2 linked regions of the Callithrix jacchus genome follow. The main gene of each other region encodes a partner of the protein of the gene in region 2 in a complex. Links are inferred from orthologs where the notes say so. Each region holds a gene or a part of one and is shown on either strand. Other genes may lie near its edges.

Region 1 (4,169 bases), on a different chromosome or scaffold from region 2:
AATATACAAGATAAGATAAACTTCAGTTGAATAATTTAAAATAAACTTAAGTTGAATTTGGGCTAAAATTCCTTCAAAGTATACTCCAAATCTGAAAGTGAAGTTCAGGAAGAATAAGGAATACATGGTTAAACTTAGTATGGTCAAAATACAGGTAGAGTAGAACAAAATGATGCAGATCTGAGCCCTCTACTTTGTAAAAGTTCTAATATGGAGCTCCATCTTGCTCCCTCAAAAAAGGTCCCAGGAGGTAGTTGGGGGAATGGGCACTGAAATGGGAATTAAGAGAGTAACTTTCATCCCAGTTTTGACTCTAGTTATGTGACCTTGGGCAAGTCACTTTCCCTTTAGGGCCTATGTTTCCCAAGGGAATCAAATGAAATGAACTCGTATAAGCCCTTAATAACTCTAGGAAACGGATTCCAATTGATGTCAACAAATGTAAAGAGCTAGTATCCTTGCTTCTATTGCTCAAAAATATTAAAACAGAAAGAATAAAGGACAGAAGATAGGAAGCTGTGTTTAAACCTAGACAGAACTATTTTAGTGCCATACAAAGGGCAGGTAACTAAATGCCATTACAGACCTGGAAGAGTTTTATGCCATTACAGAAGCCCTAGAGTACAGCTGTTCTGCTAATCCTCAGTCTGTAAACATGGCTCTGTCCATTGGGAATGCCAAAAAGTCTTGGCCACCATTTGACTGAAGAAGTTTAATTCTTTCATCTTTTCACAGAATATCAATGTTCAGCTGCTAAATATTTCTACTGGGCATTGGGGTGTAGGGGAGTGGCAGTAGATAAATAAAGGAGTCAGAATCCTAGTTAATTATCGTTTAGTTACAGTGTTTAAAGTTTCAAGTATGAGAAGCATGTCTGCTGATTCTCTTCTTCGATAAGCTGTTATATAAATTGAAGTGTGCTAGCAAGACATTTTAAGGCTCAGGGCAACTTTACAATGCACATAGTTGGTTTTTTGTTTGTTTGTTTGTTTTAAGAATCAGTCCTAACATTACACTATTATCCTGAATGTGATGCCTTTATCAAGTGTACTACTTTAGATGGGAGGTCAAAGTGGTAGAAATAATGTTTACAGAGTTGTGACAATGACTCTGGATGTGGCAGTAAATACAGAAGGCTTGGGTCCCTCACCTCAAGGAACTTATTTGTACAACTTGCTCTCTTCCCTAAGAGGTACAATTTTACTATTATTCTTTAGCCACCTCAAAAGGATCATTAGATGCTTCTCCTAAGTTTCACATATGGCAACCAAGACAATATTTACGTTAAGTGCACTAAATTTACTTGAATAAAGAGCTAGAAAGAGTAGAAAACAAACACCAAAGTTAATAGTTTGGTAATAAGGGCACAAACACCATAAAGATTGCAAAAATAAACAAAACAAAACAAAAAAACCCCAAAGTGCTCTTGGGGTACTAGTCCTGAGTAATTATTCCATTTGCAGATTCCCGGTCTCAAGCTAGCAGTAAAAGCACTTCCCACCCACCCTTCCCACTGCACACCTACCCTGCTTAGAATCAGAACCAGCATGCAAAGGGTGAGTTTTACTTCCATAGATTTTTTAAATTGCTGTTCAGAAGTTGTCTAGCAAGACGGCATATTTCTACCAGAATTCCTCAGGGGCGCTGATCCTCACCAGAACGCCGAGGACAATCAGTCTCAAATTGCAGGTAAGTGTGAACAAGTCCACGTTCTGGTCAGCACACAAGGACCCGCGATGAAAATGCGGTTAAAAGTTGTTTCAACGGGCAGGCGTGGAGCAGTTACTACAGCTGTTTACAGCTCTAACTCCAAAGCGGAGCCTGCTGGTTCTGGCATCAGCTCTGGACACGAAAAAACAAGCACCGCGGGCAGAGAACCTCATCAGGAGCAGAAGAGCCAAGCCGTTAGTCGGCCGGGGGGCAGCACAGGCACCTCCTCGACGGGAGCGTCGCCAACTTTTCCCGAGGCAGCCCGCAGCCAGGGGCGGCGGGCACGCGCTAGGCTTTCCAACTCAAGGGGTCCTCAGGGAGTCTGGATTAGCTGGGCCAGGGACCGAAGACAACCTGCCTTGGGCAACCTCTCCACTGCTCGCCTGGCCCCTCGCTGGTCCTGCCCTCTAAATTGGGTCGAGGTGGCAGAGTGCTCCCAGGCCCCTTTGGTGGAGGGCCCTCGCCCTACCCGCGAGGGGAGGGGGCCGTCGCCACCCCTACTAGGTTACTCACCTGGTGCCCGTCCTGGGAGTCAGAGGGGAGTGCGGCTTCTCCCGGTTCCAAAGGCGGCTGCTGCTGAGGTGACGGCTGCCCAAGGTGACGGGTGATGGGGCTGTCAGGGTCGAGGCCACCGGGGCTGTTTAGGGTGCCAGAGGTGCCCGGGCCGCCAAGGCGGGATAGGGCTCCCCGTTCCCGCCGCAACTCCGAGCGCAACTCTAGGTAGCAGCACAACGTCAGCAGGTGGAGGGCCAGCGAGAGGCCAAAGAAACCCAGGAAGAGCCGGCAGCTGTTCCCTTCGCCCGCCCGAGCAGGGGCCCCGCGACAGCCGCAGCTCTGGCTCTCCCGCTCCCGCGGCGCTGTCGCGGGCAGGGGTTCCCTGCGCTCCATCTCCGGGGAGCCCATGGCCTCCAGAGACACCCACTTTTTTGAGGCCCGGGAGCCGCTGCGTCTACCTCAGCCGTTCACGACCTCTGACAGGCGGCTACTGCCCTGCCATCGGCTGGGGGCTGCAGGGACCCGTTCCTGCGCGACGGTGGCTGGGCGGGACGGAGCAGGGAGCAGCCGCATGTGCAGCTCCACTCCGAGGGGTGGGAAAGGGAGGAGGAGGGGCGGGAGAGAGGGGAGGCTCGGCCCGCCGAGGGAATGAAGGAGGAGGTCCCGGCCGACACCGCCCCATCCCTCAAGCGGCTGCCGGGACGTCCAACCAAGGGGCCGCCCTGCCTCGGCGCCCCGCCCCGTACCGTTCCAGCCGGGCCTCCAGCCTCGGGGGGTGGGGGGGGGGTGGGGGGAGCCTTGGGGCGTGAGAGTTCGCCTCGGCCTGGCCGCCCCACCCAGCTCTTCCCCCTTGCCTTGTCCTAGTTGGTGACTGACGCTGTCCTTCATTCCTAGACTCCGCCCCAGTTTAACCCTTTAGCGCCAGTTCTGGGAGGAAAGGAGGGGGAGGCTAAGAATTTGGGAACCTTGGAAAGAAAGTAGAGCAAAGAAAAGGAGGCAGAAACTAGCATTAATAGAAATGTTTGCAATTAACTGCAGTTGTTAATAACATCATCCAGTACTTATCTGTTGCTTCCAATCTTCAAAGCGTTTAACAGACGTTAAACTAATTAAAACAGCTCTTGGTTTGGAATGAAACCATGCCTGCTGTGTTTGCAATTCAATGGCTCGCCCGAAGAAAAGGAGACCTAGGAGCCTGGGAACTATGGGAATGGGTGGGACTCAAGCAGCCTCACTCCTGGAGTGACTTCTCTGAAAGCTCAATCTAAGTGACAGAGAAGCTGACTCATGCCAAGTGGAACTGAAATGATGTTGTCCCATGAAGGGTAAAACTGTCCTAGGATTTCTTGATATATTAATTAACTCAACAAATATCTATTGATCCCTGTACAATGCAGAAAATGCTGTATGAGAGCATCCACAGCCAGAATAGATTTCTTCCACTGCAGTAGTTTTGATTAGAGAACATATACCTTCAGCGAGTAGATAGGAAACTGAGGGTCAGAATGAGGTGGATTTTTACAAGGGAGGTCCATAGAATAGCCAGACACCATTGGCATCTTTATTTACAGGCAACTGTTCCGGCCTCTCCACCCCTCCCATCCTTCTCCTGGAGTACTCCCTGGGGGAAGTTCAACAAGTCAGCCAAATGTTCCAGATGTACACTGCTGTAACTGCAGCATCTTCAACAGCTGCACCAATCACAAACGGGTTCAGAGAAAAAAAAGTGGCAAAGAGCAGAACAATAGACCCTGAAATGAAGGATGGAAAGGATTAGTTAAATCAAGAGTCACAATTGACAAGAGTAACTAGTCTGAGATAATAAAAAGCAAAATGACTGTAGAAGGGGAAACATATATGCTTTGTAGTCACTATGCACTCTCATTCTCATGTTATTAATTGAGTAATGAATAATTAACAATTTTATTGACTTGCAGCAGGCATCTGGAGTGTCATCAAGGAGG
Region 2 (3,500 bases):
TTTGTAGCTATTTTACCAAAATGTTTGAGCTGCTTCTTCACTCGGATGCCATCCTTCATCGTCCCAGTAGGGAGTCATCTCCCCCTGAAAACTTCTATTACGTTTTCCAAGCACCCCTTCATTCAGCTTGTTTGATGTCTTCCAGTGAAGTGGTTTGTAAACATATGTTCCTTCTGTCTTCTACTGGAGTGCAAACTCCTTAAAAACAGGGGCCAGATTCTTCACTTCTGTCATTCCCACGTGGTTTGGTTCATTTGAATTCTCAACATTGTCTCACTGTGCAATGAGTGAGTGGATATTGACTCTGCCTCGTGAAGTACAGGCAAGCATCTGAAAGTATTCCAGATCTAGTCTTTTATCTTTGGTTAGATTAAAAGACAGGCCTCATTTTGTCTGCCTCCTTGAACATCCTAAGGCATAGGATGACATATCACAAAACCCTTGATTCTTCGAAGTTTTTGGCACCACTCACAGCTCCAGAGCCCTCGTTAGATCCTTGGCTTGCCCTGGCAGGACAGCCCACAAGCATGCTTTTCAGGATGCAGCATGTGGCTGGGAGGCAGGGGGCACAACCCCCACCCACTCCAGTATGTCTGCACACAAGGACTCCACAGCATCCAGCCGCTCAATCTGTACCAGTTTTGTGAGCAGCTCAGGGATGCTATAACCTGCTGTGCTGATGCGGTCAAAGAGCTGCATGCCGTCTGTCATGCCCCCAATCTCATCCCTCTTCAGGCCGAAGCTCTCAGCGAGGTGGCGCCACGTTTTCACAACAGCCTTCTCAGAGTTGTACGTGGAGCTGAGCATTCGGCTAGTCTTCTCGAGGCAATCAAATGGCAGCTCTGTGGGGCTGAGACCTACAGACACCAATGGCCACAGTTAGATGTTGCAAGTCACAGTCAATAGAAGGTCAACACCATGAAAAATTATTTAAATGAAATAAAAATTATTTGGAAAATTTTTAAAATTGTAAAACAAAACACATGCAGAAAGCCACCTAAAACAAATGCATAACTTAAGGCAAACAACACCTAGAACAGTGCCAGCCCCAAGAGAAGGCTGTGCATGTACCCTAACCCCAGTAGTAGCCACTTCCCCACTAGGAAAATGACTGCTGTATTGACTATGATAGTAATCCCCTCATGACCATTTTTAGCAGTTCTCAAAGACTTCAAGACAAGTTATCCTTAGTTGGGTAACCCTGTCTCCTATGGGGCTGGGCTGAGGAAGGGGTCAAAGGGATGGTATCATGTCTCTTTAGGGAACAGTAGTCAACTTTATGGTGGGTGCTCTCAGTGATAGCCCGAGATTTGGGTTATCTGAACCAAGTCACTGTCAACTCAGTGGTCTGATGGTTCTCAGGCTTCACTGTACATTAGACTCACCTAGGAGCATTTAAAAAGTTGATATTGCTGCTTCTGGAAGATAAGAGTAGATAGAATTTTCCCTTATCCTCCCATTCTGAATAAAACAAACCCAAGAAGGCTCTGAAAAGTGGAGAGAAGACAGACCAACTAGGGACCTCGATATGGATGGGATGGTGGTAAGTTCCCTAGGTTTTCTTTTGCCTCATATATTCCAGACATGGGGCAGAAAAGTCCAGAAATCCAGAAATAATAGCAAGCACAGACAAAAACAGCCCCAACAGAAGTGTTCTCTCTCTAGTTAGAACACTAGGAAAAGAGCAGCCTAGCAAGCATGAAACATTTAGACAATAATTGCTCTATTCTAGCCAAACACCACAGAAAAAACTGTCCCTATTCCATCCAGGGTAGCAAAGGCTGAGTGGGGAGCCTAGACTTCCACCCTCACCAGGCTGTAACACTGTGCCAAGTGGTGTCAGGAAAGGCCATATAGGGAACTGGGAATTTCTCATCAACCAGCTGGTAACAACTCCCCTGTTCCTGTGGTGACCATGTCGGGAGCCATACTCCCAAATCTCAAATAGCAGTAAAAAGGAGCCCGCATTGCATGTCAGTGAAGAGTGAGTGGGGAATTTGGACATCTACCTTCACCAGACAATAGCAAGACAGCACCCTCATTCTCCTGCCACACAGCTATCGAAAGGAGCCAGCTAAAATAAAAGGCTTAAGTAAGACCCAGAGTTTTATATCAGGACATGAAACTGCACCGGTTTCAAAGTGAATGCACTCATCATACCAAGAACCAGGAAGATGTCAAATGAGTGAAAAAAGCAAATCAATAGATACTAACACTGAGATGACAGATGTTAGATGATCTGAAAACGGTTTTAAAGAAGCCATAATAAAAGTGCTTTAACAAGCAATTATCAACACACTTAAAACAACTGCAAAAACAGAAATCCTCACCAAAAATATAGAAAGCGTAAGAAAGAAATGAAAATATTAACTAAAAAAATACAATAATCACAATAAAAAGCTCAGTAGATGTGCTCAATGGCAAAATAAAGACAGGGGAAAGAATCAGTGAGATGGATAATGAAAATTAGAAGTTGAAATTACTCAGTCTCAGAAAATAAACTGAAAAACACAGAGCCTTAGGGAACTGTGGGGTAATAACAAAAGAGCTAACATTTGCGTCATGAAGTGTTAGAAGGAGAGAAGAAGAGAATGGGGCTAAATAAGTACTCAAAGAAATGATGTCTTAGAATTCCCCAAATTTATCAAGAGAAATAAGTCTACAGATTCAAGAAGCTAAGCAAATCCCAAACAGGGTAAACCCAAATATATTCACATCAAAATACATCACAAATGAACTTCTAAAAACAAAAGGCAGTCTTAGAAACAGCCAAAGAAAACAATGTCTGACCTAGAGAGGGAAAACAATTAGAATGACAATAGATATATAATCAGAAATCTGGAGGCCAGAGAGGAGTAGTATGGTATTTACAAGTGCTGAAAGAAAAGAACTTTCAATCCAGCGTTGCAGACCAGCTTGCAGTGAGCTGAGTGAAAATATTCTTCAGGAATGCATGAGAATATCAAGACATTCAAGTCAAAGAAAAATTAAGAATTTATCACCAGCAGACCTACCCGAAAAGAAGCAAAAGGAAATTCTATAAACAGAAAGGAAATAAAAGAATGAAACTTGAATCATCAGGAAAGAACATAGTGAGCAAAACTATGGGCAAATACAATAGACTTTCCTCCTCTTTTTAAGTTTTCTGAATTATGTTAGGTAGTTGAAGCAATTTATATGGTTATAAATATGTATAGAGGAAATATTTACAACTACTATAAACAGGGAAGATAAAGGGACATAAAGAAAGGTAAGGTTTTTATACTTCATTCGAATTGGCAAAATGATAACACCAGTAAGGCCAGGCATGGTGGCTTGTGCCTGTAATCCTAGCACTTTGGGAGGCTGAGATGGGTGGATCACCTGAGGTCTGGAGTATGGGACCAGCCTGGCCAACATGATGACACGCTGTCTGTACTAAAAACACAAAAAACAGCTCAGCGTGGTGGTGCACACCTGTAATCCCAGCTACTCAGAAGGCTGAGGCAGGAGAATCGCTT

The links.
Region 1: the proteins of EDAR (region 2) and EDA are in contact, whole or in part, in a crystal structure (PDB 7X9G), measured with the Homo sapiens proteins. The link is inferred for Callithrix jacchus from reciprocal best matches to the Homo sapiens genes EDAR and EDA. Residues at the interface, in NP_071731.1 of Homo sapiens: Glu55, Pro56, Tyr57, Leu58, Lys78, Ile86, Arg88, Arg89, His90, Asp92, Glu94, Gly95, Phe97, Val134; in NP_001390.1 of Homo sapiens: Gln256, Ser258, Ala259, Gln261, Asp265, Asp273, Arg289, Tyr310, Tyr311, Lys340, Thr341, Tyr343, Ser370.

The regions. Positions count from the first base shown.
Region 1 is NC_133524.1:66,882,667-66,886,835, reverse strand, and holds the start of EDA (ectodysplasin-A), read right to left. Parts: upstream 2,801-4,169; 5' UTR 2,614-2,800; coding exon 2,224-2,613; intron 1-2,223. UniProt on the Homo sapiens protein: Cytokine which is involved in epithelial-mesenchymal signaling during morphogenesis of ectodermal organs. Functions as a ligand activating the DEATH-domain containing receptors EDAR and EDA2R. May also play a role in cell adhesion.
Region 2 is NC_133515.1:20,220,784-20,224,283, reverse strand, and holds part of EDAR (tumor necrosis factor receptor superfamily member EDAR), read right to left. Parts: intron 858-3,500; coding exon 535-857; 3' UTR 1-534. UniProt on the Homo sapiens protein: Receptor for EDA isoform A1, but not for EDA isoform A2. Mediates the activation of NF-kappa-B and JNK. May promote caspase-independent cell death.